Bombyx mori: one gene and its partners. Each later gene encodes a partner of the first gene's protein in a complex. Links are inferred from orthologs where the notes say so. Each region holds a gene or a part of one and is shown in the gene's direction. Other genes may lie near its edges.

Region 1 (11,488 bases):
AATATGTTATTTTTTGTACGTTATGACAAAGTTAAGTCGTACACTGTGTGCATTACTAATAAAAATCTTACGTTACGGACGTTTTTTCCCGGTTAGGGTACCCCTCCGCATCGTCCCTTAAGGAATTTCGTTCCAATAAAAAAAAGATCCTAAATATAATTTTGAAAATTACACTTTTACTGTGCACGATGTTTTTTATTCCTTCGTCATGAATGTCGTTCGTGAAATTAGCATTTAGATGTTAGAAGTTTTAGAATTATAGCGAAATTTTGGTATTTGTTTTAAATTCATTGTATCGTGACTAACAATTTCGTCGGGCGTGGGCTCACTCAGGTCATACGTTGGTCTTTCGCTCTCGTATCCTTCTATTTCCTTTTCGTAAATATTCACTTCACGTTTGGCTACTTCTGCGAATTTGATGCTGTCCACCCCACGAAATATGTTTGTAACTTTTTGTTTCTAAACGAACATTAACACATCGATTAGACGTTTTATAAGGACTAGAGGTCCCGCAGTAGTCGAAATTCGACTATAATTAATTGGAATTGTAAGTTTGTACACTATTATGATTGTATTTTATACTTTTATATTCACAAATTTCGCCAAGACTACACTGTAAAAAATATTAACAAAGACAAACAATATTTCATCTATTCTCAATTTGACAACAGGCGTCAAGAACAAAAGTTTGACAATCACTTGACAATAAATAGTATGCATGCGTGTAATGTTTTCTTTATTGATTTAAAGTATATTTTACGCATTATTTAGAAAAAAAATTAACATTGTGCACTTCTTCTCTATATTCTCTATAAGTGTGGAAAATTTCATCCTCCTCCGTCTGCGCAACTTTCGTAAAAAGGGACACAAAGTTTTTGCTTCCCGTATTAATATATAGATTGCAAATATGTACACAACATGACAAAAATCGGTACTGTCAAAATACAGTATAGATACAATTCCATTTAAATTAAAACAGAAGAAACAAATGTCTCGTAGTGACGATTAAATGAAAAAAAACTTATTCAAATTTTAAGTCAGAAAAGGACAATAGTCCGATCCCCCCTTTGTTGTTCAACGTTTTGTTCTTTTCGTTAATGAAAAAAGAACTTACAAAAATAAACAAGTACACTGGTTCGCTTTGATCGCGGAATCTCCGTAATGAATCCACTTCATCCGACGGCACCTACAAATCAAAAACCTATAATTTTCAAATAATATATATATAATATATAAATAATATAATTTTAAAAAAATAGAAACGTAGACATGCTTAAAAAATTTTTTGTTGCGCTTGAAATAAAACTTCGTAAAGATCACAAAAATTGTTAGCAATAATAACACGGAGCGTTACCGCGCTTTACCGGTGGTAGGATCTCTTGTGAGTCCGCACGGGTAGGTACCACCACCCTGCTGCCTATTTCTGCCGTAAAGCAATAATGCGTTTCGGTTTGAAGGGTGGGGCAGCCGTTGAACTATACTGAGACCTTAGAACCTATATCTCAATGTGGGTGGCGCATTTACGTTGTAGATGTCTATGGACTCCAGTAACCACTTAACACCAGATGGGCTGTGACCTCGTCCACCCATCTAAGCTTTAAAAAAAAATGTAGTATTTATAATTTCATACAACAGAAAAGAAGTTTCCGAAGTCTAAAGCAGGAAGTAGCCTTTGCCTTAACCTTAATATTATCGTAATTCGTGTATCAACAATCTATTACTAGCTTCACGGTATGAAATAGGCACGATATTGTAAACGTAAATCAAAGAAAATGAAGTGAGCGAAACAAAAAAAATCAATTGACTTCAGCTTAATGAGAAAAGAATACGTTATAAATTTTAAACACCTATAAAAATTTACCTTCAGCAGAATAATTTTTCCATTGCTCCAATCGTACTTGATGATCGTGAAAAGTCTATCGAGTGCAGTACAAGCGCCTACGAATTGGCTATACACTTCGGCACCTAATATAAAGAAATCAATATAATTTACGAATTTGCATATTCAGTGGCAGCAAGTTCTGAGCATAAATCGTTTGCTACCACTGCCTTGTCTATACCAGTTGTAAAACGCTCTTGAATCCGATCCATAAGGTATTTATTTCACTAAAATATGGAGTGTTTTTCCACTAAAATAGAGACAGTATATGCTGGAAAACCGGTCATCATTCTCGTCGAACCCGTCGCTTGGGACGAAAGGCTCGACGAGTAAATTAACCCACAGACACAGCCCACTGAGTTTCTCGCCGGATCTTCTCAGTGGGTCGCGTTTCCGATCCGGTGGTAGATTCTGCGAAGCACGACTCTTGCTAGGGTTCGTGTTAGCAACGTGGTCAGATTTGAGCCCCGCGAGCTCACCTGCTAGTTAAAGTTACGCTGAAATAACCTCTCAAGACTATCAGCTTGAAAAAAAAAAGTTGGAAAAAGTCACACAAGTGAAAGAGTTTTTTGACACCGACTAAGCCGTGAGCGACACGTCCATAAAAATTCTTGGTAAAATTTTAAGCTCGACAAACACTAAAATAATGTTGCAAAAATATGAGTACTCATTTAAGTTCCAATATTCTGCTGGAATACTTATTTAAATAATTATACCAACATATTCATCATGTCGCCACAGCAATCGCCACCGGAGAACACTTAGGTTACCTTGATGATCACAACGCTGGGGCACAATGCGTTTTCCACGAAACATTTTTGTCAGGTCATATCAAACTACGAAATGAATTAGCTCCTAGATTTTGCGAGAATTCTGTGTATGACATGTACTTTTTCAAAGGAGACCTGAGAAAAACTCCCTTCGCAACTACGACAACTACTGAATCAAATCAACGAATAACTTTTCATCCTATATTTTTGTGACTAACAGATAAGGGCTTCTGAATGCGTCCTTAATATGTTTTTAAATTCCTTTTCGTTTTTTATTTCGATAAACAAGTCGATCTTCCGTTTCGCCATTTTCACTATCAATTGAAGAATTTAAACTGCTTGGTCATGCTTTGAACTATTTTAGCTACACCTGTTTTTACTTCAAAAACTTTTTATTTTTATTTTTTTTTTATTACTTAGGTGAGTGGACGAGCTCACAACCTACCTGGTGTTAAGTAGTTACTGAAGCCCATAGACATCTAGAACGTAAATGCGCAACCCACCTTGAGATATAAGTTCTAAGGTCTCGTATAGTTACAACGGCTGCCCCGCCCTTCAAACCGAAATGCATTACTGCTTCACGGCAGAAATAGGCAGGGTGGTGATACCTACCCGTGCGTGGACTCACAGGAGGTCTTACCACCAGTATCAAACTTCAAAAACTATTGTGGGATATTAGGTATAGACAATTTTAATCGTCTTTTTTACCGATTTACTGGAAACGACCGACAAATATTTACAAAGATTGTAGGTATTTAAGGAGTTACAAAGTCAATAATGATAAAATGTTACAGAAAATGGCATAGTTCGGATTTAAATAGTTAAAGTCGTAAAATGGTAAACGTAATTATCAAAATTGTGGTGGGGTCTTCTTTGCCCAATATTTATTTTAAAAAACTAGCTAACTTATCTCACAAATTGTAATTCGCTCCAACACAACTGTGCCATCTATTAGTCGACACAGGCTTCATTTTCAAGCATTATAGAGAAAAAAACACAAAAATTACAAAACTGTCAATAGATGTCGCATTTAGATGATTATTAACCGTCAATTATTTCGCTTTGTAGTTTTGGCGTTAAGCAGCGGTAGGCAGCGACTTGGCTCTGCCCCTGGCATTGTTGAAGCCCATGGGCGACGGTAACCACTCACCATCAGGTGGGCCGTATGCTCGTCTGCCTACAAGGGCAATAAAAAAAAAGCAGTAGGCAACAATCAAACTGGTATACATAATTTAATATATACTATCTAAACGGAAACATAATATGAATCAGGGCCCATGGGCAATACTTCTTGTGGCAGCACCGTTGAAAGACGACCGCCCCATTTAAACAAGCGCAGCGATCCTTCATAACCACTCTCGATGCTTTTAGGCATCACAAGCATCGGTCAACTTATTCGTTGAACCCGTTCAAGCGATGAAGGGCTCGGCGAGTAAATTAACTCACAGACACAGCGCACTGAGTTTCTCGCCGGAATTTCTCAGTGGGTTGCGATTCCGATCTGGTGTAGATTCAGCCAAGCAGTGTCCTGGTTAAGGCTAATGTTTGCAAATTATTCAGGCTGACCACCATGAGCTCGTTCTACACGTAGCCATAAGTAGGTCAAAAAAAAGGACGAGTACGACATCAAACACGCAACAACCAATACCTCAATTCCGTCCACCCCAGTGCTACACCGCTCAGCGTTGAGTGCATCTCAACATGCTCTAACACCATCACACACAAATGTATGTACTGTCTGGTGTTTTTAAATGCGTACAAAAATATTTCTGTCAATACAACACATCAGAGAAAACTATAATAGACTCAAATCTATTTTTTGTGATGTAGGGATAGCTGGCGGTCCCAAGGTCTTTCTAGTTTCAATAGCTAAAACGGCTAAATGAGTACGAAATAGTCTTGGGAGCTTCAAAATACACAACGAGAACACTCTTTTTAATTAGGAAAATACATTATTTTACTCTTAAATTAAAATACAAAACAATTTTTTTAAACTTGTAATATTTTTCTATTCGTTTCATTTCACCATTTATACTGATAGCTGACAAGATTTTTCATAAAATGATCCTGTATAGGCTAAGACCCTTTCGCCTGTTTCGTGAGATAAATAAAATATAACACTGTCGGCCATATTGAAAATTTTAGTAAATCGGGAATTATCGTCTGCAATGGATTCTTACTTTTCTAAATCAATTTGTGAACATACGTCTGTTGGGGCTTCGCCAATATTATGTCATTTGTTCATTGTTTTTCAATCCGACCGTGATAATTGCAGAAAATCGTCTTCAGTTTGACGAATTACACTCGAGTTTTGTTGTTGTCTAGAAAACGACGACTCTGGAGACATCTTGTGAGTGATAAGTCACTGTCGATAGTTGTCCGATTTTGGTGTTCAGGTGAAAAGTTTTCATATTAATTCAGCTGCTGATTCTGGAGTCCTAAAAATGGACGTGTCATGGGGTACGTACTGTTTAATACAATAACAAAATAGATTTTATAAATATCTACATTCGTAATGTCAATCGTGGTACATTCCAGACGCAGATAACTTCGAGCCCAAACTCCCGACCACGTTGGCAGCTTCCAACAAATGGGAAGGGGAAGACGAGGATGATAACGTAAAGGTAATCATTGGTGTGCCAAGTAGTTTGTATACAGTGTTCTAACTTCTAAATGTATTACGAATCTTCTCAAAACAGTACATAACCTAAATGACTGCCTACGTGTTGACGTCAGACTTTATTCGCAGGAAAGCTGGGAGGATGAGGAGGAGGAAAAGAAAGACGAAGAAAAGACTGAGGCAGCGCCACCTCCACAACCGAAACCTAAAAAGAAAATACACGATAAAATAGCCGAAAGAGAGGTATAGTGCTTTTAAAACATATGTTTAATGATTTAGAGATTTTATAGTCTAAACTCTACTAGAATAGCTTCTAGTTTATAGAATAGATAATTATAATTATATGGTAACATAAATTACTACCCATTTAGTGGTATTTTAACACATGAACTTAATAGTTTTGTTACACATAAACTTGGTAATGTTGAGCATTGTTGAAGCCAATTGCATCCTCTATTAACCAAAAGTTGTCTAAAAATAATTTTAAAACATTTAATTGCATTGTATACATACCAAAAATAGAAATAAGATTTGAAGGAAAAATAATATATGTAGTCTATTGTAAAATTTAAGACTTAATATATAGACACTGATATTTATTGCCTGCTTCGCCATGATCATCCATCTAGTGGAATAGATAAAATATGCACTCCATTTGAAATCAGTTTAAATGTTCTTTTTTTTATAATACCAATCACTGGCAAATTATCTTAATTATCATCTTCTTCTTTGTTCTTTCTCTCTCTGCTGGGGTGTAGGGCTCGAATCATATTCTTTCGTTTGCAGTCAATGGTATTTTTTTAATTAATAGTGAAGAAAAAACTGATAAATAAAAAAAACTAAATCTGTTGACAAACAGAAGAGAAAATTTTATTTAGCTTTTTATTGTACCCATCTATGTATAAATTAGATTCACATAATCATTAGATACCTATCGAGTTTAACATTAGCCAGTGTTTGTCTAAAATTTGTTTTGCAAAAGTCATTGACGCTTATTTATATAAAATTCGTGGAGATAACTTATTATATTATGAAATTACAGTAACTGTATGTACTGCTCTGATGCAAATTTCAACTATAAATATTTACACAAAAAATAATTAAAAAGGACAAGTTAAATACAAATAATTTATAATAAATATCAAGGTTCCAGTATGCATAAAGAAGGTTAACAAGATAGATTACTCATGGATTATCATCACCTTGCAATTAATATTAAATTCATTTGACAGCATAAAATATCAGAATAATAATTAAAATATATTAAGAACCCATTAATTATTAATATTTAAAAAACAACAGAAAAGAAATCTGGTGCTAGTGAGGGTGTTCCTGTTAGGTAACATAAAAAGTGGAATTTAAAAATAACATTTTGCTAGCAATTGTTCACTCAGTAATGATAGCTGACGATCCCACTCAGTCATCATATATCATCTTCCTTGACATATTGTGTGTCAACATCTGGTTATGACTGATTATGTGCTCAAATATGGTTAGGGAAGCCACATTTTGTCTTGAAGGGTCTGTTGCAGGGTGCACAATACAACAGCCCATCAGCATTCTACATAAAGTATAGGAGGAAGGCCAAATTTTGTATACACTTTTTTTTTTCAAATCTTGAGACAGCTTTGTGAGCATATCTGTATCATTCTGGACTCCGTTGTGTGCGATATTAGACACAGTTGGATGACATTCTAAAACATCCCCTGTAACATTAGCATTGCCCTCCAGGTGCTCACTGTTCATAATTCAGCTGTTAGTAAAAGACAAATCTAGGAAACTTAGAGTCATCCACACTTGTTGGAAGTGCTTCAATACTATTTACCTTCATCCTCAATATCTCAGTTTGAGACTTGATCTTGCCGCTTTATGCAAAGTATGGATGTTACACACTTTATGTTGATGGTGTTGCTTGATATCACCTCTGTAGTCCTGGTGGCATAAAGCGTATTGCTTTATTACCTTATATACAGCGATCATTGTGTGCAGACAAAGGTCATGTGAGGCCCTGACTCTTTTGCACAGCATTCAACACCCTTTGCAATTCATGAGGAATTTGTATTAAAATTTTGTATAGGGTATGACAATATTAAGTTAAAGGTTAACTTACATCATGTTTGGGATAATAACCAAATCTAAAATACGATAATTCACCAGAAAAATGAACATAGTTTCATAACTTCATAGAATTGACAGGCTATAGTTGCTCTTGAATTGATATAATATCCATAATATTTAAATTATAAAATTTTACTAGCGACAAGAACGTGAGAAGGCTGAACGTCTCGTGACAGAGAAGACTGCAGAAGAAATGACTCCAGAGCAGAAGTTGGCTGAGAAACTTCGCCAGCAGAAGCTACAGGAAGAATCAGATTTGCGACTAGCCATGGAAACCTTTGGTATGCTTGATTGATTTGGTGTGCTCGTATTACAGTTTGTGGATTCCAAAATAAGATTCATTTTAAGCAATAATTAGTAGACATTCTAAAAGAGGGTTTATAATCCCTAATATAATGAAGTTGTTGTGGCCTAATGGATAAGATGTCCGGTGCATTCGTGTTGAGCGATGTACCGATGTTCGAATCTCAGGCGGGTACCAATTTTTCTAATGAAATACGTACTCAGCAAATGTTCACGACTGATTTCCACAGTGAAGGAATAACATTGTGTAATAAAAATGAAACCCGCAAAATTATAATTTGCGTAATTACTGGTGGTAGGACCTCTTGTGAGTCCGCGCGGGTAGGTACCACCACCCTGCCTATTTCTGCCGTGAAGCAGTAATGCGTTTCGGTTTGAAGGGTGGGGCAGCCGTTGTAACTATACATGATACCTTAGAACTTATATCTCAAGGTGGGTGGCGCATTTACGTTGTGGATGTCTATGGGCTCCAGTAACTACTTAACACCAGGTAGGCTGTGAGCTCGTCCACACACCTAGCAATAAAAAAAAAATTTAAAAAATTGTGGTGAAGTGGATTATTGTGAGCCCTCATAAGTAGGTATTACCACCCTGCTTTTATCTGTTGTGCAGCAGCCATTATGCTTTTATGAGATATCAGGCTTCATGGCTGCATGTTAAATCATTGGCATCATGCATTGAACGTTTAAGATTTTAATGACATATCTAGTTTTCAATATCTCCATAAGAGAATGATATTTCTTCTAATTATGATCCTTAAATTAATTTATTTTGTCATATGATCTTTTTAGAGAGTTAATACTTACGTAAAGTGTTAATTGTATGTGAAAGTGTATTTAAAATGGGTGAAGTATGACTTTTCTTGAGTAGATGGGTGAACTAAATCTAAATGATTACAGGAGCCTACAAACATAGTCACATAAATGCCACCACCCACCTTGAAACATAAAGTCTTCATTGAATTGTGTAATAGCTGTTCAAATCAAAAGGCATGACTGCTTCACGACAGAATTAGGCAGGATTGTGGTATCTACCTGTGTGGGTTTATGTTGTGCCTTTCTTTCATTAAATGTCAGTTGACAATCATAGTATGCTGATTTTATACAGAGAATACTTCTACCCATTCTCTGGTGAAATCCTTAGTTGCCTTTCACAACATGCAGAGGAAAATAAGAAATATAAATACACTGCTTTTTTATGTTTACTGGTTGTGGTGTAACAATAGCATTTATTATTGCATAAATTTGAGCAATAATAATTATTCCTCCAATAATTAATACATTATAATAACAATATAGAAAAAAGTCTACGTAGCGCACAAAACACCCAAAAACACACTACTAAACCTAGTGTAATATCAGCCTATACTAGGAAACTCATGGAGCGGAGACAGCAACTACATGTAACCAAACCAAAAACAAGAGCATTGAAAAATGAACTAAAAGCTTTATATAAACTCATAAGTAAGAACATAAGGAGAGACTACATGCTCCATCGATCAAAAACATTTGAAAAACATATACTACTGGGAGCATTAAAAAGGCGTACAAGGAGCTAATTACCTACAAGCCTTGGATTAAACAACTAAAAGAGTCAGATAAACTATCACATAATAGGACTGATATTATGAAAACCGCAACCAATTTCTACAAAAAACTGTATGATTGTCAAGTCCAAAACTTTACAAATATATCTGTCAGCACCAGCATACAAGTACCAGCGGAAGACGTCTCACAGATAAAAAAGATAGATGATTTAGAAGTTATAGAAGAAATAAAAAAACTTAAAGCTGAAAAATGTCCAGGGCCCGATGGAATCACTAACGAGGCAATAAAAATAGGCTCTAAATATCTTGCACATCCTCTGACACAGCTCTTTAACTCTATATTAGATTCAGGCACCACACCTTTTCAATGGTCAGAGTCGAACATGATTCTACTCTACAAAAAGGGTGATCCCACTGATATAGGCAATTATCGTCCTATCAGTCTGCTACCCACACTCTACAAACTTTTTTCATCAATAATCGAAAAGAGGATTAGTAAGAGAATAGAGGAACACCAACCAATAGAGCAAGCTGGTTTCAGACGTGGATATTCTACAATAGACCATATCCACGCAATTGAACAAATTGTCGAAAAATATAATGAATATCAGAAAACACTCTATGTTGTGTTTATCGATTATCGGAAAGCCTTCGACACAATCCGACACTCTTCTATATGGACCGCCCTAATCTCACAACGCGTTGAACACAAATATATAGAAATAATAAAGTGTTTGTATAACAACTGCACAAGTAGAGTCAAACTTGAGACGACAGGACCACCGATACCCATAAGGCGAGGTGTGAGGCAAGGCGACCCACTATCTCCGAAAATTTTCATAGCGGTACTGGAGATGGTCTTCAGCAAACTAAATTGGGAAAGAAAAGGGCTGAATATTAACGGCAATTTCATCAACCATCTAAGATTTGCGGACGATATTATTCTATTATCTGAAAGTGCTAAAGAGATGGAATCAATGATACACTCGCTAAAAACTATGAGCTATGAAGTGGGTTTGGAAATGAATTTAGATAAAACAAAAATTATGTCGAACAGTATAAAACATCCCATATATCTCGACGAAAAACCATTAGAATACGTAGATAGCTACATATACTTAGGCAAACAAATTTCCTTTGGAAAACAAAACAATGAATTAGAGGTTGAACGAAGGATTTCAGGCGCATGGAAAAAATTCTGGAGTCTAAAAGACATACTAAAGGGAACGATGCCTATTAACTTAAAAAAGAAACTAATGGACACGTGCCTGCTCCCCTCTATTACCTACGGCTGCCAAACGTGGAAATATACGCTACGCGTAAAGAACAAAATCAGGTCTTGTCAACGAAGTATGGAGAGAAGCATTACGAATGTGAGAAAAATACAAAAAATCCCACATAATGTCATACGGGAAAAGACTAAAGTTATAGATGCACTAGATTTCTCACAAAAGTTAAAGTGGCGCTGGGCAGGCCATGTAGCCAGGATGAGCGACGACCGCTGGACCTGTAGACTCACGCTATGGCGGGGGCCTGCAGGTATTAGAAGGAAAGGAAGACCGGTAACGCGTTGGGACAACGATATAATAAAAATCGCTGGTAAAAACTGGAAGACAATTGCCAAAAATAAAGACAAATGGAAAAGTCTGGAGGAGGCCTTCACCCTCACATAAGAGGGGTTCTTGCATGCCTGCATGCTAAATTAATATAACCTTTTTTACATATTTTATGTTGATCCGACTAATATTATACACAATTTATTAAGAATTCTATCATAATTAATATCGATTATTATTAATGTATTATCAACAATTTTTTTATAATTTTTGTAATGTAACTTTTTTTTAAATGCAAGAAATAAAAGGCTTTTTATTTTATTTTATTTTATTATTTATTAATAACAATAAGGCTTTTGAGTAAAATAATAAACATTCATATTCTCATACAATAATCGTATTTTATTGTGTTCAAAACTACTAGCAAATGTAATGATTGATTGTCCAAAATATATATTAAGATTACTTGGCACAATTTCTTGGCAAGTCTTAAAACTGCCTCAAGTCATATGAGACAATGTTTTTATTATAATATGTCTAGTTATCAGATTAGATAACTTACCCATGAAAATGATTACAGGTGTAACAGAAGGTAACATTGGTAAACTTGACAATTTCCACCCAACTACAAAAGAAGAGTACACAGAGTTTGCTGATCTCCTTACAAAGAAGATCACTTTCTATAAAGCCAAGGAT
Region 2 (11,366 bases), on another chromosome or scaffold:
GCCGGAATTACAACCATGTTACAACACTACGTATCCCGTTGCTAAAGTTATTTTTTAAGGGATTGTATGACCTGGTAACTAATGCCCGTATCTTTAGACGTTTCGTAAAATAGTCCTCCACTCTTAACTCATCCGAACTGTCAGCGAACTGTCAAGTCAAGGTACGTCGCGACGTACCTTGAACGTTCCTCAAAACAGCGTTTATTACAAGATGACTTCTGAGAGCAGTTTTGAAGAATTTATTAACTATATTTTTGATAGCAGAGTGTATAATTATCCGTCGCGAAGGTATTTGAGAGATGCAGATAACCCGTTGGAAGTTTACGATGACGACGAATTCCGAAAACGTTACCGGCTTACCAAAGATTCGGTTGTGCATATTTTGCTGCCTTTGTTGACTAACAACATTAATGAAAACGATCGTGGACTACCTTTAACGCCGATATTACAAGTGCTAATTGCTTTGAGATTTTACGCAAATTTTCAGGTTCGTGCATAATGTGCTTTTGTGTCTACATAATAGAATATTTATAATTTATAACTTTCATTTGGTTTCATGTGGTATGGTTATTTTTCAGATTGTTTGTGGCGACTTGCACAAAATTTCTCAATCCGTAGTATCAAAAACGGTAGCAAACATTTCTAAGAGATTGGCTTTGAAATCCAGGCAATTTATTAAATTCCCTGCATTAAATGAAAGGGTTGAAACTAAAAGAAAATTCTACCGAATTGCAGGGTTTCCAGGTGTAATTGGATGTATTGATTGCACACACATTCCAATAAAAAATCCATCCAGAGCAAGGGGAGAAATCTTTCGTAATAGAAAAGGCTGGTTTTCTATCAATGTCCAAATAATATGTGGACCGCAAATGGAAATATACGACATTGTTGTGCGATGGCCTGGATCTGTGCATGATTCGCGCATATTTAACAACAGCAGATTGAGATTTGAAGAAGGCGATTTAGATGGCATTCTTGTCGGAGACAGTGGTTATGCGCAGACTGGCTTTATGTACACTCCTGTACTCAATCCTCAAACAGACCCAGAACACAGATACAATCGAGCATGTGTAAATGGTGTATTAAAGAGACGCTTTGCTTGTTTGTGTAGAAAATTACAATACAGTACACCAAATACATGTAATATTATAGTCTCTTGTGCTGCCCTACACAACATTTGTTTAATGACCAATGAACCTGAGCTGAACCCTGAAATTGAGCTAGAAAATGTCCCAGTACCTAATACTCAGGACTCTTCTAGAGGGAGTATTATAAGATCGGCTTTTATTTCTAGGCATTTCAGTTAAAAATTCTCATATGGGTATCATCAACCTACAGCAGTCCACTGCTGGACATAGGCCTCTCCAATTGCTCGCCACTGAGCACAATCCTCGGCTTCCCTCATCCAGCTCTTGCCAGCCACCCTGCACAGATCATCACTCCACCACTTCACAGTTTCGACTCAAGAACATGTTTACCCTAACAGTTATCAGTTGTCCGGCTAATATGGGTATATAAGTTGGAACCGAGCAGTGAGCACCGTTATTGTAATGCAGATAGTATTATTTATTTTGAAGATGAATGATTAAATTGATTTTGTTAATTTTGATAAATTTTTTACTAAAAAAGTAAATAGTACGAGGTTAGACTTTTGAAACTCCTTATTTTATTTATCTACATAAGAGTCATATTTTGCTTACTATCTAATAAATAAAGTCAATGTGATTATGAGTTATTTATTTAAATTATTTTTCACTACAATCTCTTGTAGCCCGATTATATTTTTTAATATCTTCTGCAGCTTCCCTCTCAGCCTTTGCTTTTAGATATACTTCTTCTGCTGCCTTCATCATCCACTCTCTTTCCTTTTTTTGGAATTGAAAGAGTTCATCTTCTCTTCTCTCTTTCTTTTCATAAGATTCTTTTCTAAACTTAAATTCCTCCTGAATTACCCTGGTGCGCACATTCCCTCCTGTAATTAAATAAAATGCAATTGTTATACATCTATATTTGTAACATTTTAGTAATCTATATAATGTATATTTATGATTTTGAAGTGATGATAGCTTTAGTGGTAATTAAGGTATTAAGGGTGGTTTCAAATCCCACAATTGGATTGAGCTACTATAGTCGAATTATTAATTAGACTGAGTAAAATGTGATAGTCAATTCATCTGATTCAATACAATTAAGGTGAAGTTATAAAAAGATATTGATATATTTAGATTAGATTTACAAATTGCATTATTTGTGCTTTACCCTAACTAATTAATATAGATAGACACTCAGAACTTCATCATTCTGTTGTGGTTGCGCTACTGCTGGAACTGATGTTTCAAGCTCCATTGCAATATCTAGAAATAAAACAATAAAATCTTTAATTATGTATGGTAGAATAATAGTGATAGTTGGAGTAGAGGAAAGAATTTTAAAGTAATATTGTTCTTAATCAGAATGTGGTATATTCATTATGATTATTAAAATGGTTTCTTGAGTGAAAATCTTTATCAGGTATTGTCACGCATATTATTTATCTAGTTTTTAGCACAGTAATACATGTAGTTCGACTCATATAGATATATAACAATAATCAAAAGACCCTCCATGCCACCACGTTCTTACTGTTTTTTGTGAGAGAGCATGTGAGATTGAAGCACTTATCTCAAATTTTTAAGATTCACTTACCTTCAGAACTGTAAATGGTATCACTGTCAATGTCACCCCTGAGTTCCACATCAGTCTGATCCAGTAGAACCTCAGCAAAAATAAGGGTCTCATTGCTGCTACCAGGCTGTGGCTCATTTGGAACACACTGTCCGCCACCAGTCTTCATTCTCTGACGCTTTTCATTAGCTAAAAAGTGCTTCCTCCGTGTTTTTAAATTATCCCAGCACTTCTTGAGCTGGGCCTCACTTCGCTAAAACAAATGATAAATAAGAATAGCATGGTATATATAGACAAGTAAAAATCAGATACAAGTAATATAAATAAATATCTACCTTTGCATTTGATTCAATTGAATTGAATTCTTCTGTTAAATGTATCCACAAAAGTTTTTTTGTGTTTTGACTAGCTGTCATGGTAGCAGTTTTGTGCAGATTATATTTTAAAATTAATTCTTGTAGGCAAGGTCTTCTCGCTTTCGCTAAATACTTGCCTGGACGTCATCATAGAAAAACTGAAACGACAAATAATTTACTGCATCGTAATTTCACGTAAAATCTATAAAAAACTTTGCTTAGGCAGTGAGTAATAAAGGACAAAAATATTTAACTATTTGAGTTAACTTAAAGTTAACTATTTAATAAATAAAACACCACAATCATAACTTACCTGAATAATAAACCGGTGGTTGTGGAAAAGCACTTCAAAAAGACGATGCAATCAAATTCAACAAAGAAACAGCGAATAAAAATACAAAGCCGGGTTCCTGGAGGAGCTATTATTCAAAATCCGAAATCTAATTTATTAATCATGGGTTAGAAAAACGAAAACCTTCTATTTCACCGCACGCGCACGTATTTATGAGTCTCTCAACTAAAACATCAAACAAGTTCGATGCGTCTAGTGTCAAACAGACAGTGGTAGCTTGACTTTGACATTAAACAATGACCATAAGCTACAGAACTCTTATAGGTTTGATGCTAGCTTGATCAAATTTTCCTCAAACTGATGTTGTCGTGGTGACGCAATAGCACCTCTCTACCTTACTCGAGGACAGTTGAGGAATATTGTAATGGTCGACTAAAAATACCAAACTCGAGTAAGTTTGGGAGGAATATTCGAGCATCATCGGATGAGTTTAGAGTGGAGGACTATTTTACGAAACGTCTAAAGATACGGGCATAAGACTTTTATGTAATGTCTTATTTTAATTTACATTCTTATTTTTATGAAAAATGAATTGATGATTAATTTGAGACATTAATCAACTGGGATGAAATCAAATGAATTTATATGATATGGGATGAAATATAATCTCAGTAAAATGGTGGTGATTTACTGAGATTTTTTCAGTGGACTTTTTGGAGGATCCCGAGAAGTTACGTTCATTGGCTTTGTTTCATTTTCCCACATTTGTGCACTTTCACAGATACTAAACAGTTAATAAACCACCGTTACTATACATTTAAACCTGAAGAAACACTAAGTAGACAAAATAAAACAAATCACACAACTTCACTCCTCGCGTTCCCGCTAAAAAGTCCCTCAATAAACAAAATATCATACTACGCCATAGATAACATTTTAAATATTTGTCTACTATTGACTTTGGCTTACTCTGTACTCAGTATATTTACTGTGGACGTAGCCTAAAGTGCTTTCCTTTTACTACATACTATTTGTAGATTACAGGTTGTTGGTTTCTACCTACTACATGTGTTTCCATTTTCATAAGAATTCATGAAAATAAACTATCAACATGAGTTACTCAAAATTTGATTTAACGTTTAAAATAGGACAGTATCTTGATCGGCATCTCGTGTTTCCTTTACTAGAATTCTTAGCAGCAAAGGAGGTAGGTTATGTAGTCAAGTTTTACAAAGTGTTGTCCGTTTCATTCTAAAAAGCAACTGAAAGGCTTAAAACCAAATACTTTCAGACATATGACCAGTCAGAGCTCCTGCAGGCAAAGTTGGAGATTTTGAGCAAAACTAACATGATAGATTATGTTACTGACATCAGAAGAATGCTCTATCCTGAAGAAGACACTCCTGAAGTAAGAATTTATCTTTAACAAATATATTATTTGTCCTAAATTAACTTTATTTACGGAATGATGTTTAACACAAATTATTAGAGATGCTGACATCTGACTATGTATGTATATGTATATGTGTTTAAATACATAATTATGACAAGAATAATTGAATATGCAATTTCGAAAAGGGCACATCTCTGAAAATGTAAAATGTTCAGGAGATGAAAAAAAACTGATTATTTTCTAAAGCAGTGTAAAATTTAAAATATTAACTTTTGAGATACGTTTTAGTGTTAATTAGCAATTGAAAATTACTGGAATTATTATAAAATGGGTGTAGGTAAGCCTCAAAACTACATGTATATGAAAAAACGTATTTGACAAAATATGCGACATGTGACCTTTCCGAAATTGCATATACAATTAGTATAATGACTTAATTAAACCTAAAAGTGATTCTAGGAAATTATACAGCGGAGAGGTGTAGTTCTTTCGGAACTGCAGGAACTTCAAGATGCAGTAGAGCCAGTATTGAGACTCATGCAAAGAGATGATGTAATGAAAACAATTGAAACCATGAGGGATCCTAAAACTCTTATAAACCATCTTTCGACAAACAAGGAGTATGAGGTGAGTCTTTCATACAACGGAAACTAAATGAAAAGATAATTACTAAACTGCCATGCAGTACAGCAAAACAGTATTATTTATTCTATATGAAGAAAGAATAATAACTTAAAATGCTAATTAAATTAAATTGTTAACAATTTTACATACTCTAATAGAGACAGTCCTGAGAAGGGTATTCCCAAATATATATTTCTTTCTTTCTTTTTTATGCCCAATCACAAATTATCAAAACAAAAGAAAACATTATACAAAAGCCGAATAATATAACCGAAAGGCATAGAACACCTCATTCAATTGTTGTACGATTGTAACTTAAAAGTAAAAAGCTTTTCTGTATAAATATTTATCAAGATAATAGCAAGTGTGGGGCATTTATTTTTCCAACCCCTCAATAAGATCAAATTCATTATTCAGTGGAATCTTATTTAAAAGTAAAATACTAAGCACTATTTTGAGCAAATAGCAATTTATGACAAAAAATAGTTGTAAATTAGAAGAGTAATTTGACATGGATTTTGACAAAAATATTGTTATGCCAATGCCAGATTTTTCTTGATATTACTCAAGAATTATGTCATAGAATACTGCAGTATAATATTGAATTTTGCAATAGGGCAGTGTATCAAAATTTCATATTTCGTTCTTCAGAAGAAGACTTTTTTGTGCTAATACAACAAGCAGCTGAGAAAATTCTGCATAAATAATTATAATTTTAATTATTAATATCATATACATTAGATATATGTACACTTTAAAGGAAACATATATACATCCTCTACCTGCCTTAGCTTATGATGTCAGCTTACAGAATTTTATCTTCAGATCATAAATTTTAAGTGGAATATTACCTTGGTTAACTTAATAAATTTTAATGATATATCTTTTAAATACAGTAGTAGAATGTAGTAGAATTGTTATATATTTTTTATAAATCATTGTCTGCCTATTTCTGCCGTGAAGCAGTAATGCGTTTCGGTTTGAAGGGTGGGGCAGCCGTTGTAACTATACTTGAGACCTTAGAACTTATATCTCAAGGTGGGTGGCGCATTTACGTTGTGGATGTCTATGGGCTCCAGTAACCACTTAACACCAGGAGGGCTGTGAGCTCGTCCACCAAAAAAAGAAAAAAATAAGCCTAAAATTGTTTGGTCTTAGTAAACATATTTAGTATATAGTAGATATATGAAATATGTCTACCAGCAAGATATTCAATTTATAAATATAAATCCTTAAATAAAACTAAAAATAAAAGAATGGTTTGACTAATATCAATTTCTATTCCAGTTTAAAATTGAAATGATCGATAGCATGTATCGTTTGGCCAAATATCGCTATGAATGTGGAAATTATGTGGAGTCAGCATCATATCTTTACTTTTGTCAACTGGTGATGTCGCCAACTGACAAGGTAAGGAACAGTAAAAACATAATATGTCATATTGTATTTAATTATCAAATACCTATGTATTATGAAATGAAGCCATTGTTATGACATTTAAATAGACTTGTAAAATAAATTTGTCAAAATATGTATAGGCAGCAATGTATAAAAGCGACTTACTCTGTGTGTGGTATAGCACCAGCTTTTCCCCTAGAGTCACGCGAGATTCGCCAGAGAATGGGCAGCAGTACTCAGCATATTATTATAGTGTACTGATATAGCCTACGAGCATATACTGATAATAGGGGGTATTGGAAATCCTCATGCGTAGTTATCACCGTTTTGGCTACTTCTATCATGAACCTGTTATTAAGTTTTGAAGGTTGGGACAGCTATTCTACAATACAGTTGGGTACTGGTGGTAGGACCTCTTGTGAGTCCGCACGGGTAGGTACCACCACCCTGCCTATTTCTGCCGTGAAGCAGTAATGCGTTTCGGTTTGAAGGGTGGGGCAGCTGTTGTGACTATACTGAGACCTTAGAACTATATCTCAAGGTGTGTGGCGCATTTACGTTGTAGATGTCTATGGGCTCCAGTAACCACTTAACACCAGGTGGGCTGTGAGTTGGTCCACACATCTAAGCAATAAAAAAAAAAAAATTCAACTTCATGTATTAGATAGGTTAGGAATATATTATTATGTAGATATAATATGAACATTGTGATATCTATAGTATCCAGTATCAATAGAGCAGGTGGGCAATGAGATTGTGTACCCATCTATGAAAAAAAGATAAAATGTAACACTTTTAATTTTAAAGATTTATGAAGTTGTAAATTAATATATTTCAGTTCTTATTTCTTGTATTAATTAATAAGAATGTTAAATACTACATCTATTTGTAAGTAAAAAAAATACAATTTATTGCAAGTAACAACTAGCATTTAGGGAAATTGCATATTAATAAACTATAGCATCAAACTGTTGGTGAACTTGTGTTCTGTGGGCTTTTACTTCTGAAAGGGCGTTATACCAAAGACCACATAGCTCACATTGATGAGCTAAAATACTGATAGACGCTTTTATCATTGGCTCATCGGTTTTAATATCTTGAATGATTTTCAGCATGAAATGTTCAGCTTTATATCTGCAAATATTTTATTAATTTAATTACAGAGTTCCATCTTATTTCATGCACATAATCTTAGTGTGTGATGCTTACAAGCTTTAAGTAGTAAGTCTTCTGGTGGTAGGACCTCTTGTGAATCCGCACGAGTAGGTACCACCGCGCTACCTATTTCTGCCGTGAAGCAGTAATGCGTTTCGGTTTGAAGGGTGGGGCAGCCGTTGTAACTATACTGAGACCTTAGAACTTAGACATAACCACTTAACACCAGGTGGGGTGTGAGCTCGTCCACCCATCTAAGCAATAAAAAAAAGAAAAAAAAAGTAAATCTCCGTAAATCAAACTCAAACTAACGACAGAGTGTCCATTCTTGTTTATGATTCCTTACTAGAATAAGGCTGTAATTCACTCCTTAATAAAAACTTAAGCGCCTAAATAAAGCACAGGTTCGACCTCGCGTAGCCTACCACAACCCAACTTTGATCCGTATGTACTATTTTTCTTTGGCTTCATAAGAGGAGAGAGAAGCGTTCAGAGTGTTTGTTGACTTCTCTTCTTCGAATAGAGGTTGGTTCCCCCTGTGATCTATACCATACTTTATATGCAGCAGATGTCAGTCATCAGTACCATTTCTGAAGTAGAGTACACTCCTACTACCACTACCACTATGTAACTGCCACTACCACTGCGTTTCAAGAGCTTGCCTTGTAAATCCATTTCTAGAAAGAATTCGCTTCCGTGGTGTTTTTTGAAATTTTATATCCTCATCGTCGGATGAGTTTTGAAAAGAGCCCTTAGCAGTAGGCAAAGGTGTACGAGCGACAGTAAGCACTTACCATTGGACCATTACCATTGTATGATATCTGCCTTGAATGGAAATCGAATTGAAGGCACCTATAAGATAAGAAAAATGCGAAGAGAATTTCACCTGTGATTGTAGAGTTGATCGTAATTCTTGAATTTACGGTCGCAAATGTTGCACAACAAAAATTTAGGCAATTCAAAACTGTATATTTTCAACCACGGGCACACCAGCCAATGTTGCTCGTTAGTTTTATATGATTTAAATGTTAAACTACAAGTAGTGCATTCGTAATTGTTTACGACAGAGTGCAATTTGCTATGAGTCAAAAGTCTTGGAATACTTGTAAATACTTTTTCGCAAAACTCGCATTGTAATAGTGACGAGGTTTTAATTTCTCGAATGCCCTCAATATCTTTTGGATTACAACTATCACCAGGATGTTCAATTGCTTGATCTCGACGAGGCCATACTTGAAAACATTGAATGCAAGTCCAAACGATTTGCCAACGCTGTTGTGTCTTGCATTCTGTTGTTAAATGTTGGCAGTTAAAATGTTTTTTTATTCCTGCTTCATGGATATAATTTGACCCACGGTAGTAAGGATGTCTCAAAGATCTCGTGTATATTGTATCTAAAATCTCTTGACTTTTAGTCAAATCCAATGTTCTATTTAATATTTTAATATTTTCCATAATTCGGGCATTATTCTCATTCACTCTATCAAGACTGTACTGTAAGGGGTTGATGTAATCTTTGGGAACGTTATTGATATGTTTTTCAGTAAATTCATTACTATCATTTTGATGTATGATTCGATTGTTATTATTCAAGCGGCAATCAGTGTTAGTGTCTAAATATTCGTTCACTTTATCGGGTTCTAGCAGCTTAGCACTAGATTCTAAATTAAGTAGATCTGATTCAAAGGTGGAAACTATCTTCACAATAAGACATGGTGATTTGGTACTCTTGTTAGTATCAACTGTCCCATCCGCCCATTTTCCAAAATGCACATTTGCTGAATGTTCGTCATCGTCTATTAAAATTTGCAAACTTTTACAGTTTTTCGATTCTTCGTGTTTTCGTATTATTAACTTTGTACATGGCATTTCGATATAAACTTGCATTTAATTTCAAATGTCACCTTTAAGTACATTATGTCATTGAGAAAGAAAATAACATTGTAGACACCAAAGAGAATCTATCATAAATAATAATTAGCAAGGTAAACAACGAATATATTGTTTTCAGAATTATTTGTCGGTTCTTTGGGGTAAATTGGCTAGCGAAATTTTGGTACAAAATTGGGATGGCGCGCTCGATGATCTAACCAAACTTCGAGAGTTCATCGATAACGGTGGAGCCGGTTCCACTGCCAGCAACATGCAAGCCCTACAGCAACGGACCTGGCTGGTTCACTGGTCGCTATTCGTGTTCTTCAATCATGTCAAAGGACGTGATTTGATCATCGAAATGTTCCTGTATAAGCCTTTGTAAGTTTTACATTTTGGAATGTTTATCTTCAGATTTTATGAAAAATTTCGAGTCTCTAATATGGCAACATAATAGGCAATGAAAAGAATAATTATCAATTAAAAATATGTTGTTACATTAACTTAGTTATATGTATATTCTACATTCCAAAGCCCGAGTGGTAATGAAACCAAAGGCGATCCAATTGCAAAAGAGACCTTAACTCAGACGGAAAATCTAACCGGGACCCGAGGTACTGAAATAATGGTCACTAACCGCGACCCCAACCGAATCAGTTATATTATTTTAAAAGGTATCATAATATGTATTATCGTATTACAGGTACTTGAACGCCATCCAGACGATGTGTCCCCACATCCTCCGCTACTTGGCTACTGCAGTAATCATAAACAGGTCTCGCAGAAATGCCTTGAAGGACCTTGTGAAAGTTATTCAACAAGAAGCTTACACCTATAGGTGCTTTAAATTTTTTTTTAAGATATATGATGACACTTTTTTATGTTTGTGTTTATCGCAAATACGAAATAAAAATATATATTATTTTTCAGAGATCCTATCACAGAGTTCATTGAACATCTTTACGTTAATTTTGACTTTGAAGCGGCCCGTCGAAAATTGAATCAATGCCAAGCTGTACTTTTGACTGACTTTTTCTTAATCGCCTGTTTGGAAGAGTTTGTCGAAAATGCTCGACTGATGATCTTTGAAACTTTCTGCCGTATTCATCAAGTCATTAGTATTGGGTAAGTGTGAACGTTTACTCTGTTAACGTTTTTATGTACACTAACTAGTGTTCGCACACTGGTTAAGATATGACCATAATCACTGACACATTCATATTTAGATGCAGTTGGTGTCGTGTGCACGTGGAAATAAAAGTGGTTCTATTTTTATATTACAAGCACTGAAGCTCAATATTAATAAGTTAGGTGTATATTTGCAATTTCATTGAGGTAAATAAATTAGAATTGTAATTACGTAAATTGGAAAAGGCCTACATTCAGTCAAAAAAGTATCGGGAATTGTATTTGGTTTCAAACTGAACGCTACTTCTACAAGCGGCGCGCCACGAAACCCTCTTATCGTGGCCGCCGTTAATTATTTATCCGACTGCGACAGAGCAACGGAAAACCGCCGTCGCCCGAAACATGTCTTGTCGGATCCCCCGGATTCACTCTCGGTGCTTTTAGGACCCTCAAGCACCGGTCACTGTGCTCGTTAAACTTGTCT
Region 3 (10,767 bases), on another chromosome or scaffold:
GGACAGGATGCATCCATAAGGACGTCTCAAAGGCGTCGACGGTAACTGGCTCCTGCATGAATCTAAGTGAGCGGCGGCACGATGAAGCAATTTTCATGATTCATCTAACAGGAACTAAAGTTCTCTATGGAGCATGACTTTAAGGTAATATTGTATGGTTGATTTCTTAAATATGTGCCTGTTATAATTTTTAATTGTGTTTACAATAGATTAAATTAATTGAGCATAAAATTATGAATTTTTTATATTTACTTTCTATCCGAAACAGAAAACAAAACAAATGCATATTAAATTTTTAATTTAACCAAAATTCATTGGTTGATCTGAATTAAAATCCAAACTTTCTTTGCCAAAAATCTATTCTACAATGAATTTGAATTTGATTTCAGATTCCTACCCTATTCCTGACAGCTAATCTGTATCCTGTTACTTGGCTTAAGGGTCTTTGTTTCCAAGCCAGTAAAATTTATAAAAAAAAATGTATCCTGTTCCACCATTTTGTTTTACATGTCGCGTGTGAGGCCGGTGCTGGAGGAATTCGGTTTTCTCTCCTAAACCGACATAAAATCGACGAAATTGTGTTAATGAAGTAGAAAGTGATATAAAGAAAATGGCGCGATACGGTCAAAGACCGGAAAATGCCCTTAAACGGGCCAATGGTTAGTATTATGTTTGATCATCCACGTTGCGTTTCTATGATTAGCAAAAAAAACATTTCGATGGATTCACCACCTATGGTTATCACAAGAGAAACATCTATTGATATCAAATAATGCTATAAAAAATATTTTTCTAAAGTAAAAAGTTTTTAAATTTCATTTAATAAATAAACATAACCAAAAACATTTAAGAGTCGTCGTGTCAAGCTTATCTTTACGTAATTGACGAAACAATAATTAGTTAATATAAACCTAAAATCCAAATCCAATATAACGTTCAATCTTAGAGTAGATCATGATTATAATTATCTCCTATGCTGAAATTACGAAAACAATCCATATGTTTTGATGATCTCACTCATATGATCCAAATTTCAGTATACACCGCCGTTCTTTCCATATCGTTTCCTGTGCAAAATATTGTAAAAAATTTAGATCAATTGTTATTGACAAAATTAAGACACATTTCAATGTAACAATGCTATTTTCAGAGTTCATGGATTTGGACAAACCAGCAAGGGCCCTAGACACCTTACAGGAAGTTTTCCGTAACAAAAAATGGGCCTACAACTGGTCCGAATCTGTCCTAGAACCAATCATGTTCAAATACTTGGAACTTTGCGTTGATCTACGTAAATCTCATGTTGCAAAGGAAGGTCTGTTCCAGTACAGAAACATGTTCCAATCAGTTAACGTTGGGTCTTTGGAGCAGGTTATAAGGTAATTATTAAAATCAGTCTTGTCTACCTATTGCAAGGTATACCATGGTTCCCAAAAACTCTCAGACACAGCCCACTGAGTTTCTCGCCGGATCTTCTCAGTGGGTCGCGTTTCCGATCCGGTGGTAGATTCTGCGAAGCACGACTCTTGCTAGGGTTCGTGTTAGCAACATCGTCAGGTTTGAGCCCCGTGAGCTCACCTACTAAAGTTAGGGTTACGCTGAAATAGCCGCTAGGGCTATCAGCTTAGGTAGGAAAAAAAAAAAAAAAAGAAAAAAAAAGGGTTCCCAAACATTTCACTGCAGTGCAATGCAGATGCCTATCTTCAAACATAAAATTGAAGCCTAAAGCATTAAGCTTACTGAAACTTACCAAAAATGCTGTTAATAATTAATACTTAGATACAGTTGAATGAGATGCAAAAATTGGTGCACACTTGTTCAATCACGTAATGATCATTGGTTTACATAAAACTGGGTATTGGAATATGAATTGAATATCCCTAGCAAAAAAAATATATGAAAGTTGTTAATTAAATATAAGCAATCCACTATTTTAAACTTTGTGATAAACAAAAATTGAAAAGTAAAAAAAAAATGATACCATTTATGTCTAACACATAACTAGACTAACACTAATAACAAATAAATTTTAACAGATCTGCATTGATTTATAAAGTTCATTCAATCACTTTTTTGTCAAATATGCTCAACTTTTGTTTTCTTTTTGTTAATACTTTGTGGCCCAAGACCCACCTGGTGTTAAGTAATCACTGAAGCTGATGCACATCAACAAAGCAAATGCTGAAACCCACTATGACTTCTAATTCTCAGGCTCAGAAGCTGCCATACCATGAGTATATGTTTCAATGGCTGATGTCTGCCTAGATTACCACAATCTCATCTTGTCCTGTACTGTTTACAACAGTAAAACACGACTGGGGCTTTTGAGAGAACTGGCAGCAGTGTTCATGTCGTACAAGAATACAAGAATTAACTGTTATTTGTGTATAAAATTAACTCATAGAAGTGGTTCCTCTTCACTATCGTGTACATTGCGGTTGCAAAGTAATAATGTTTAACTGTTTAAAGGATTGAACAGTTGTTATACATTAAAAATGAGATTTTGATGATTCATCACAAGGTAGATAGGATGAAATGTGACCCTGTTCGTAAATTGATTCAATAAAAATAAAATTGATTCTTGTAATCTTAGGGCATGAGGTGGACAGAAAGCAACATTGACTTTGTGGTATCTATGAACTCTAAAACCGCTTGTTACTGTAAGCTAATAAATCCAAATATAGCAAAACTAATTACTTTACACTCACAATTTCTAACTATAATAAAGAAATGTGCCTGTAACTGTAACATTTCACAGAGGCTATCTCCGTATGGCAGAGGAACGCACAGAAACAGCCAGGGCTTTATCGACGCAGGCCGTCATAGACACTGATGATCTGGATAACCTTGCAACCCCGGAGAGCATACTCCTGAGTGCAGTGTCAGGTGAAGATGCCCAGGACCGATCTGACAGAACAATACTCACACCATGGGTGAGCTATCATCACCAGAAATTCTACTATAACAATGCATTTGGAATTTATCAACTTATGGAGTTTGCATTTAGTTATTAAAATTATTTATAAATTTAAATATAATAATGAAACCAATTTTTTAACACAGGTGAAATTCCTTTGGGAATCCTACTGCCAATGCCTGGAGCTCCTTCGTACGAATGCTCATGTGGAAACCTTGTATCATGATATTGCTCGCATGGCCTTCCAATTTTGTTTAAAGTACTCGCGAAAAACAGAATTCAGAAAGCTTTGTGATAAACTAAGGAAACATCTTGAAGATATTTGCAAACCTACAGTAAGTGTAATAAAACTCAATTTTTCTATTTATCAACTGATGGTAGGGCATAGGTGTCAGATTGTATAAGTAGGTACCACATAGATTGTCTGTAATGAAGCAGTTATAATACATACAATAAATACAATTGAGATTATATCATTTGTGACATCCATTTCCTTTCATAAAAAAGGGCAACTAGTGATTTGATCCCAAATTGATTAAGATGCTCTGAACAAGATGTAAAGATACATTCTTATCACATGCTACACTGTGATTAGAGACCTTTATTGGATAACACTGTACTGGGACAATTGAAAACATGAATAGATGAAGGGGTTAAGTACAATTTTAAAGATTTTTGAGTTTCTATATTGAATGAAGGTGTTATGTGCCGATATATTAGCCCTTAAAACTCCAGGTTTAAAGGCTATTTTTAGAAATTGCATGTGATGAAGAAGCTATATATGAAGCAAAAGTATAAGTAACAAAAAGTCTGTTGCTCGTTTTCTCAAAATTAACAAATTGTATTATATCCCCTTCGTCCACTCATGTCTTCAATTATGTATCATATACCAGACAATTAATCTACTGGTGCTGGGTTGTTTTATGGGCTAGCAGGGGTCTACCATTACCTGTTTCTGTCACAGAGCAGTTATGTATTCTGGTGTAAAGAGTGACATACTATACAATTGTTGTAATTCTAAATGGCTGGTTTATGTTTGTAGTATTTCTATAAACAAAATGTATTTATTCTGTTCTGAAATATAGTCTGTATTATTTTGTAGGTGCAAACTGGTAACGTTAGCATTTCAAAACCAGAAACTCAACAGCTGAACCTCGAAACAAGATTGTTCCAGCTCGACTGTGCAATTCAAATGGAGTTATGGCAGGTTTGTTAAAAAAATTATATTTCATCTTTATTTTGTAATACGTATTTAAATAAATTTAATTATTTTTTATGTGCACTAAAATCTTTCAATAAATAAGTAATCAATAAAGTAATAGAATATATACAAAAAAGGGACTATTTGAATATGAACAATGAATTTCATTACAATAATAAAATAATTTAAAATTGCATTAATACAAACACGGCCAATACCTTTGGAAGTTAAATTGAAATTTCTTTTAGAAACATGTTTTATTTTTTTAACAGGAAGCCTATAAAGCCATTGAAGACATCCACAACCTAATGAACATGTCTAAAAAAACTCCAGTCGCCAAAACTATGGCCAACTACTATGGGAAACTGGCACTTGTTTTCTGGAAAGCTGGCCACTGCCTATTCCATGCTGCAGCCTTGCTGAAACTCTTCCAGCTATACAGGGAGATGAAGAAGAACATCACCCAAGAGGAACTGCAGAAGTAAGAATACTGTTCAATAATCATCATACTATATACTTATATACTGGCAATGAGCAAGTGGCTAACCTTTAACATCTGCTTCCCGCTGACTAATTATGGATTCAATTCATATAAAAAAAAATTATTACTTAGATGGGTGGACGAGCTCACAGCCCACCTGGTGCTAAGTGGTTACTGGAGCCCATAGACATCTACAACGTAAATGCGCCACCCACCTTGAGATATAAGTTCTAAGGTCTCAGTATAGATAACAGCTGTCCCACCCTTCAAACCGAAACGCATTACTGCTTCACGGCAGAAATAGGCAGGGCGGTGGTATCTACCTGTGCAAACTCAAGAAATCCTACCACCAGTACAAATATATGTATAGACACAAAAAACCATGTTATTTGATCAGTTAAGCCTGCAAACACTCACATGGACTACTTATAGCTGTATTACAAGTGCTACGCAAAAAAAATAGTAAAAAAAAAGTTACTTTGTAGGATGGCGTGTCAAGTACTGGTAGCGGTGCTGTCTGTGCCACTGCCATCTCTACACCCTGAGCTCGATCGCTTTGTCGAGACGGATAAGAGCCCTGTTGAGAAGGCCCAACGTTTGGCTGTACTGCTCGGTCTTGCTCAACCACCGACCAGGGCAAGTCTTTTGAAAGGTATCTATTTTAAAAGAACTAGTACTAATTATTTGAATATAATAATGACTTTAAATTATCTAGTAAGAAGGAAAAGGAATTTCTCAACATGTATTACAATATTTTATGAAAATTACACTAGTAATTACTTACTGGCCTTTGAGTTTGGTAACTCATTCTGCTTTGTGTAATACCTTTGCAACTGGAGCTCTAGCATAAAAATATTTATTTATTAGTCCATATTTTTGTAATTATTCAAAACTAGAAATAAATGCAGATTTGGAAATATAAATTTTGCTATGTCTGTATGTTTCACTACAGCCTATTAATTATTTAATTTTGAATACTCAGCACTTCCTGGCGATTAACACATTCATATAAATTTAATAAAATACTAGTTAATAACCAAGCCTTGCTCGATATTTTTTTTGATAAATTGTGTTTTTTAGAAATTATATTTAAATACGAATTACATATTGATAAAATGATGAAATATAAATCATATTTTTCGATCTCACCGACAGAATAATAATAAAATATGAACTGGTTATTTAAAGAAAAAATCAAAATTATCGAAAACACAAAAAAACAACAAATTCAAATTCTGAAAATAAATCGTATCTAGATCGATTTATCGCCCCTGAAATCCCCTGTATACAAAATTTTATGGAAATCGTTGGAGTCCTTTCTGATTTTCAGATTATATATAAATTTATATACAAGAATTGCTCGATTAAATATATAAGATGCAAATGTAACTAAAGTATAAAATTATGTTTATTCTTAGATATCGTCCGCCTTAACGTCGTGTCGCTGGCATCGCCTCAACTTCAACAGCTTTATTCTTGGCTTGAAGTGGAATTCGACCCTCTGACCATCTGCCTTAATGTCAAGGGTGTTATCAAATCTTTGCAGGATGAGCCAAGTGAGTACATTGTTTAACCCACACTGATAACTCATTACATTACGCTTAGCTTACTGTCCAACTGACATTAGACTAAAGGCTGGGTAGATGTTAGAAACAGACAATCTTATCTACCTACCTTCTTTTTAATCCGTTTTACTATACACACAGTATTCACTGTTTTTGTTGAACACTGAAGATGCATTATTTTTTACTAAACCTAATAGTGAAATGTGCTATGTGGTTAGTCCTGAACTAAGACCATACATACATATATACAGGTGTATTAAAGTACCTTACCTCTATTAAAGGAAAAATATTAAATATTAAATGATTGGTGAAACAGGTCTTGTTATTAAAAGTATAAGCAATAAAAAATAAAATAAAAGTATAAGAACAAGCAAATAAAATGTGTGTGCGATAAAAACTTTTTATTTTCTATAGCTACATAAATCAAAATTGGACACCTTTAAATAACATTTGGATTTTTTTATAACAAAGACAAGCTTAATATTAATTTTATGTAAACTGTGTGTACTCAAAAAGTGGAAGTCACATTTGAAACTATTCACTTCATTGGAAAAGTTAATGGAGACTTCTTCAAACAAAATATAGATAAATTAGTAATCAAAGATTTTAGGATTATTGTGCCTCTGAAATAAATCCCATTTGTAACCCTTAATGGTTATGCGATGGTAGGCCTCAGAGGTAGATCATATTGTAAGCTTGACGCGACAGAATATACGACACATGTATAGCCTGTGTTAATGTATGCTTGCACATGTTATAATTTACGAGTGAGACGTCGTAACAGCCATAACCCATAGTTTGTAACTATTGCTAATTGTAGATTTGACCCATCTTTTGAAACAACTATACATTCTCTAAAGTGCCAAAAGTTGTTGGTTTCAATGTTCAACTCGACAATATCCTTCGTGAATATACATTCATTTACAAATTAAAAATATTTCTGTGCAAAAGCACAATATTAATAATAATCCCTAATGAAAATCCATCTGTTGGAGCATATCCCATGACGTGAATAAAGATGAAATTAAATTCAATTTAAATGTAAATCAAATATTAAAGACTTATTACAAATGGTTATCATGTGTAATATAATATTTCATTAAAATGTTTTGTTTCTGTTCTCATAAAAACATTTTAATTATGATTCACACAAACAAATATATAATTATGGATATGTATAATACTCTAAAGGCTAGGGATACACATTAAAAATAGCCAGAGTCTTATTAATGTGACCCACTTTAACTCGAGTAATAAATACCTGACTGTATACCAAATAACCGAATCATTGTGTACCTATACAATTATTTTATTTGAATATTGATTTAACAGATTCATCGCTCGCTCAGTACACCAATGCCTTGACGGACGTGGCCCTGGTGAGGCTGATCCGTCAGGTGGCCCAGTGCTACGCGTGCGTGCAGTTCTCCCGGCTGCTGGAGCTGGCGGCCACCGACGACCTGTTCCATCTGGAGCGCTTGCTCGTCGACTGCGTGCGCCACAACGACATGCAGATACGCATCGATCACGCCAACAAGTACGTTGCGAACTTCGTATAAAACTAAAGCATAGACACAGTTTTTTATTGTTATTGCATAGATGGGTGGACGATCTCACAGTCTACCTGGTGTTAAGTGGTTACTGGAGCCCACAGACATCTACAACATAAATGCCGCCACCCACCTTGAGATATGAGTTCTAAGGTCTCAGTATAGTTACAACAGCTGCCCTATCTTTAAAACAATGGTGGTAACTATCCGTGCGAACTCAGAAGAGGTCCTACCACCAATAATTACGCAAATTTTGCTGTGACTATTACTAAAACTGTGCTATTCATCATTCATCTAATTTATTGCCCATAAATTAAGAATAATTTTGAAATTTTATCAGTATCCCTAAACATAGACAACCTTTTTTTTTTCAAATAAATTTAAGTAATTTTTATTTATTGTAACGAAAGCTATTATAATAAATTTACGATACGTCTATCTCGCGTACCATAAGTAGATATGAAAGAGCTTTTCTGTCAGCTTTCATTATAGTAATAACTACTTCCATTTCATTTTTCACTTAAACTTAGATAAATAAGTGGTACCTATTTAAAAGAGTTTGGAAAAACCTCCCCATTTTAATTCAATGTTTTTGCCACGTTTCATCCAAATCTAATCCAGATCCACAATTCTCTCTGAGTGCTATAACATCTCATTTGCTAAAGGGACTTTTTTATTATTTATTAGAGCCATACACCCCTATTAGGTTGTCGGCTAAAGGGGACTCAAAATGTACTGTTGGCAGGGTAATTGTTCAGTTTAATTCTTAATTACTATTTCTGTTTACAATCAGGTGCGTGCACTTTGGCGTAGAAGCGGGCGGCGGCGAGTGGTGCTCGGCCGCGGACGAAGCCTGCGGCGGGGCCATCCTGCAAGCCACCCCGGCGGAACAGGTACGCGCATTATGAATAATGGACTTGTAGTGTTATAACATTTACAATTGAACTTATTTCGATGGGCTGTGACATGGTGTACCTATTAGTTTGGACGAGTTAAATGACGTACTGATGATATAGTTTTTACTAAGATTTTAAGACTTTAAAACATACATTAACTATGTTATTAATCATCTGATGTGGTTTATTCAAATCAGTATAATATTTCTATGAATCCTATTTTACTATTTTAGTTATGTATGACTACTAAAATGGTAAATTTAATATTTCAAATGTGATAAAATATTTTAAATTTTTTAATATATTTAGTGTTTTCCACAAGAACGATTCTCAACAATCATGAAAAAGCCTTGTAAAATTATCTTTTTACCAAATAAAATTTTTTCTCCCAATTATTTTCCCTACTATACATTTCGATGATAAAATACATTAAAACAAATAGATACGAATTCTCCAATATATGCACGCGTACTTAAAAAATTAAAAATCCCTTGACGTGTCTATAATCAGGTCCGCGAGCAGCTGGTCCGCGCGGCGGAGGTGCTGTCCCGCGTGGTGGGCGCGCTGTACCCGCAGCGGCGCGGCGCCGAGCGGGAGCGCGCCCGCGCCGCCATGGTGCAGTACTACCACGAGAACAAGCAGGCCGAGCACCACCGCGTGCTGCAGCGCCACAAGATCATCGAAGAACGGAAGGAGTACATCGAGCGACTCAACACCGTGCGCGAGGAGGAGGAACTCAGGTAAACATTATAATTTTTTTGCTTAGATGGGTGGACGAGCTCACAGCCCACCTGGTGTTAAGTGGTTACTGGAGCCCATAGACATCTACAACGTAAACGCGCCACCCACTTTGAGATATAAGTTTTAAGGTCTCAATATAGTTACAAAGGCTTCAAACCAAAACGCAATACTGCTTCAAGACAGAAATAGGCTGGGTTGTGGTACCTACCCGCACACACTCACTACAATCTGTCCTACAACCAGACCACGTCCGTACTAGGACAGAGCGACTACACAGCCCTAATTCACTATACACTAGTATGATACTAAAGGACTGCCTCCTGCTTAAATCTGTTATGTATATTCAATTCTTAAGAAGTCATTGTAATTTTTGTGCCTCTGAAATAAATCCCATTTGTAACCCTAAATGGTTATATGATGGTAGGCCTCAGAGGTAGATCGTATTGTAGCTAGACGCGACAGAATATACGACACGTGTATAGCCTGTGTTAATGTATGCTTGCACATTTTTTTTCATTTGATGTATCGGCTTTCAATTCCGCTATTATATTTCATGTGTTTTATTGAATTAATTTAGCTAAATTACACAACTACAAAAAAAATTTCGTTCTTTGTCCAAACGTTTATACTAGATTTTTCCAGTTAATTATTCACAAAAACGAAAACAAAAGTTTGCTTTTGTGATAGTTATAGTAATAATACTCATTTTTCAACTTTTTTATAAATTTTTTATTAATTTTAATACTTTAAAAAAAAAACGCGCTATCAAAGTGGGGTGTTTACGTTCACACAGTGCCACTAGATGGCACTCGAGTCATAAACAACGGTCAGGTGTTTTGTACAAGCCCAGAAAAACTTAAAATGTCACGAAAGTGTAAATACGATGCTGATGCATTTTGTTTCATATGTGGTCAATTTATTAAAGTTCAAAAGCAAACTGTTTCATGCCATGTATTATTTTTTCGTCTAATTACGATCTAAAATATCGAAATTTTAAGTTTTGCCATCAAAGTCAAAATTGGTGTTGACCCGTGTTATAGATAGGTTAGAAAAATAAAACAGGTCCACTAAAAGCTTTCAGAGCTATGACGATCGTTAATTAATATTAGAAATAGGACTAAGCAAAGGTGGTAAGTAGGACCTCTTGTGAGTCCGCGCGGGTAGGTACCACCACCACCCCGCCTATTTCTGTCGTGAAGCAGTAATGCGTTTCGGCTTGAAGGGTGGGGCAGCCGTTGTAACTATACTTGAGACCTTAGAACTTATATCTCAAAGTGAGTGGCGCATTTACGTCGTAGATGTCTATGGGCTCGTCCACCCGCATAAGCAATAAAAAAATAATAATAACCGGAACAACTAACGAAATGATTTGACGTATCAGGCGTCAAGAGGAGCAGCTCCGCGCGGCCGCCATCG

What was found.
Region 2: eukaryotic translation initiation factor 3 subunit J (region 1) and eukaryotic translation initiation factor 3 subunit E share a complex: the UniProt entries of both Drosophila melanogaster proteins name them as parts of the eukaryotic translation initiation factor 3 (eIF-3) complex. The link is inferred for Bombyx mori from reciprocal best matches to the Drosophila melanogaster genes eIF3j and eIF3e.
Region 3: eukaryotic translation initiation factor 3 subunit J (region 1) and eukaryotic translation initiation factor 3 subunit A share a complex: the UniProt entries of both Drosophila melanogaster proteins name them as parts of the eukaryotic translation initiation factor 3 (eIF-3) complex. The link is inferred for Bombyx mori from reciprocal best matches to the Drosophila melanogaster genes eIF3j and eIF3a.

What each region holds. Positions count from the first base shown.
Region 1 is NC_085125.1:12,533,929-12,545,416, forward strand, and holds the start of eukaryotic translation initiation factor 3 subunit J, read left to right. Parts: upstream 1-4,994; 5' UTR 4,995-5,093; coding exon 5,094-5,109; intron 5,110-5,187; coding exon 5,188-5,273; intron 5,274-5,398; coding exon 5,399-5,512; intron 5,513-7,526; coding exon 7,527-7,668; intron 7,669-11,372; coding exon 11,373-11,488. Other genes in the region: uncharacterized protein LOC101743774, read right to left, coding at 307-459, 1,115-1,186, 1,862-1,965, 2,868-2,958. UniProt on the Drosophila melanogaster protein: Component of the eukaryotic translation initiation factor 3 (eIF-3) complex, which is involved in protein synthesis of a specialized repertoire of mRNAs and, together with other initiation factors, stimulates binding of mRNA and methionyl-tRNAi to the 40S ribosome.
Region 2 is NC_085111.1:12,359,128-12,370,493, reverse strand, and holds the start of eukaryotic translation initiation factor 3 subunit E, read left to right. Parts: upstream 1-4,362; 5' UTR 4,363-4,423; coding exon 4,424-4,519; intron 4,520-4,603; coding exon 4,604-4,720; intron 4,721-5,164; coding exon 5,165-5,332; intron 5,333-6,616; coding exon 6,617-6,739; intron 6,740-7,535; exon of another isoform or gene 7,536-7,674; coding exon of another isoform or gene 7,675-7,861; intron 7,862-8,768; coding exon of another isoform or gene 8,769-9,769; exon of another isoform or gene 9,770-9,862; intron 9,863-9,893; coding exon 9,894-10,135; intron 10,136-10,457; coding exon 10,458-10,592; intron 10,593-10,684; coding exon 10,685-10,879; intron 10,880-11,366. Other genes in the region: putative nuclease HARBI1, read left to right, coding at 212-487, 579-1,307; uncharacterized protein LOC119628513, read right to left, coding at 2,269-2,354, 2,686-2,917, 3,000-3,080; zinc finger protein 280B, read right to left, coding at 7,675-7,861, 8,769-9,769. UniProt on the Drosophila melanogaster protein: Component of the eukaryotic translation initiation factor 3 (eIF-3) complex, which is involved in protein synthesis of a specialized repertoire of mRNAs and, together with other initiation factors, stimulates binding of mRNA and methionyl-tRNAi to the 40S ribosome.
Region 3 is NC_085122.1:3,672,084-3,682,850, reverse strand, and holds the start of eukaryotic translation initiation factor 3 subunit A, read left to right. Parts: upstream 1-418; 5' UTR 419-610; coding exon 611-659; intron 660-1,150; coding exon 1,151-1,379; intron 1,380-2,758; coding exon 2,759-2,933; intron 2,934-3,063; coding exon 3,064-3,252; intron 3,253-4,019; coding exon 4,020-4,124; intron 4,125-4,390; coding exon 4,391-4,599; intron 4,600-5,084; coding exon 5,085-5,251; intron 5,252-6,017; coding exon 6,018-6,155; intron 6,156-7,496; coding exon 7,497-7,701; intron 7,702-8,507; coding exon 8,508-8,607; intron 8,608-9,120; coding exon 9,121-9,350; intron 9,351-10,732; coding exon 10,733-10,767. UniProt on the Drosophila melanogaster protein: RNA-binding component of the eukaryotic translation initiation factor 3 (eIF-3) complex, which is involved in protein synthesis of a specialized repertoire of mRNAs and, together with other initiation factors, stimulates binding of mRNA and methionyl-tRNAi to the 40S ribosome.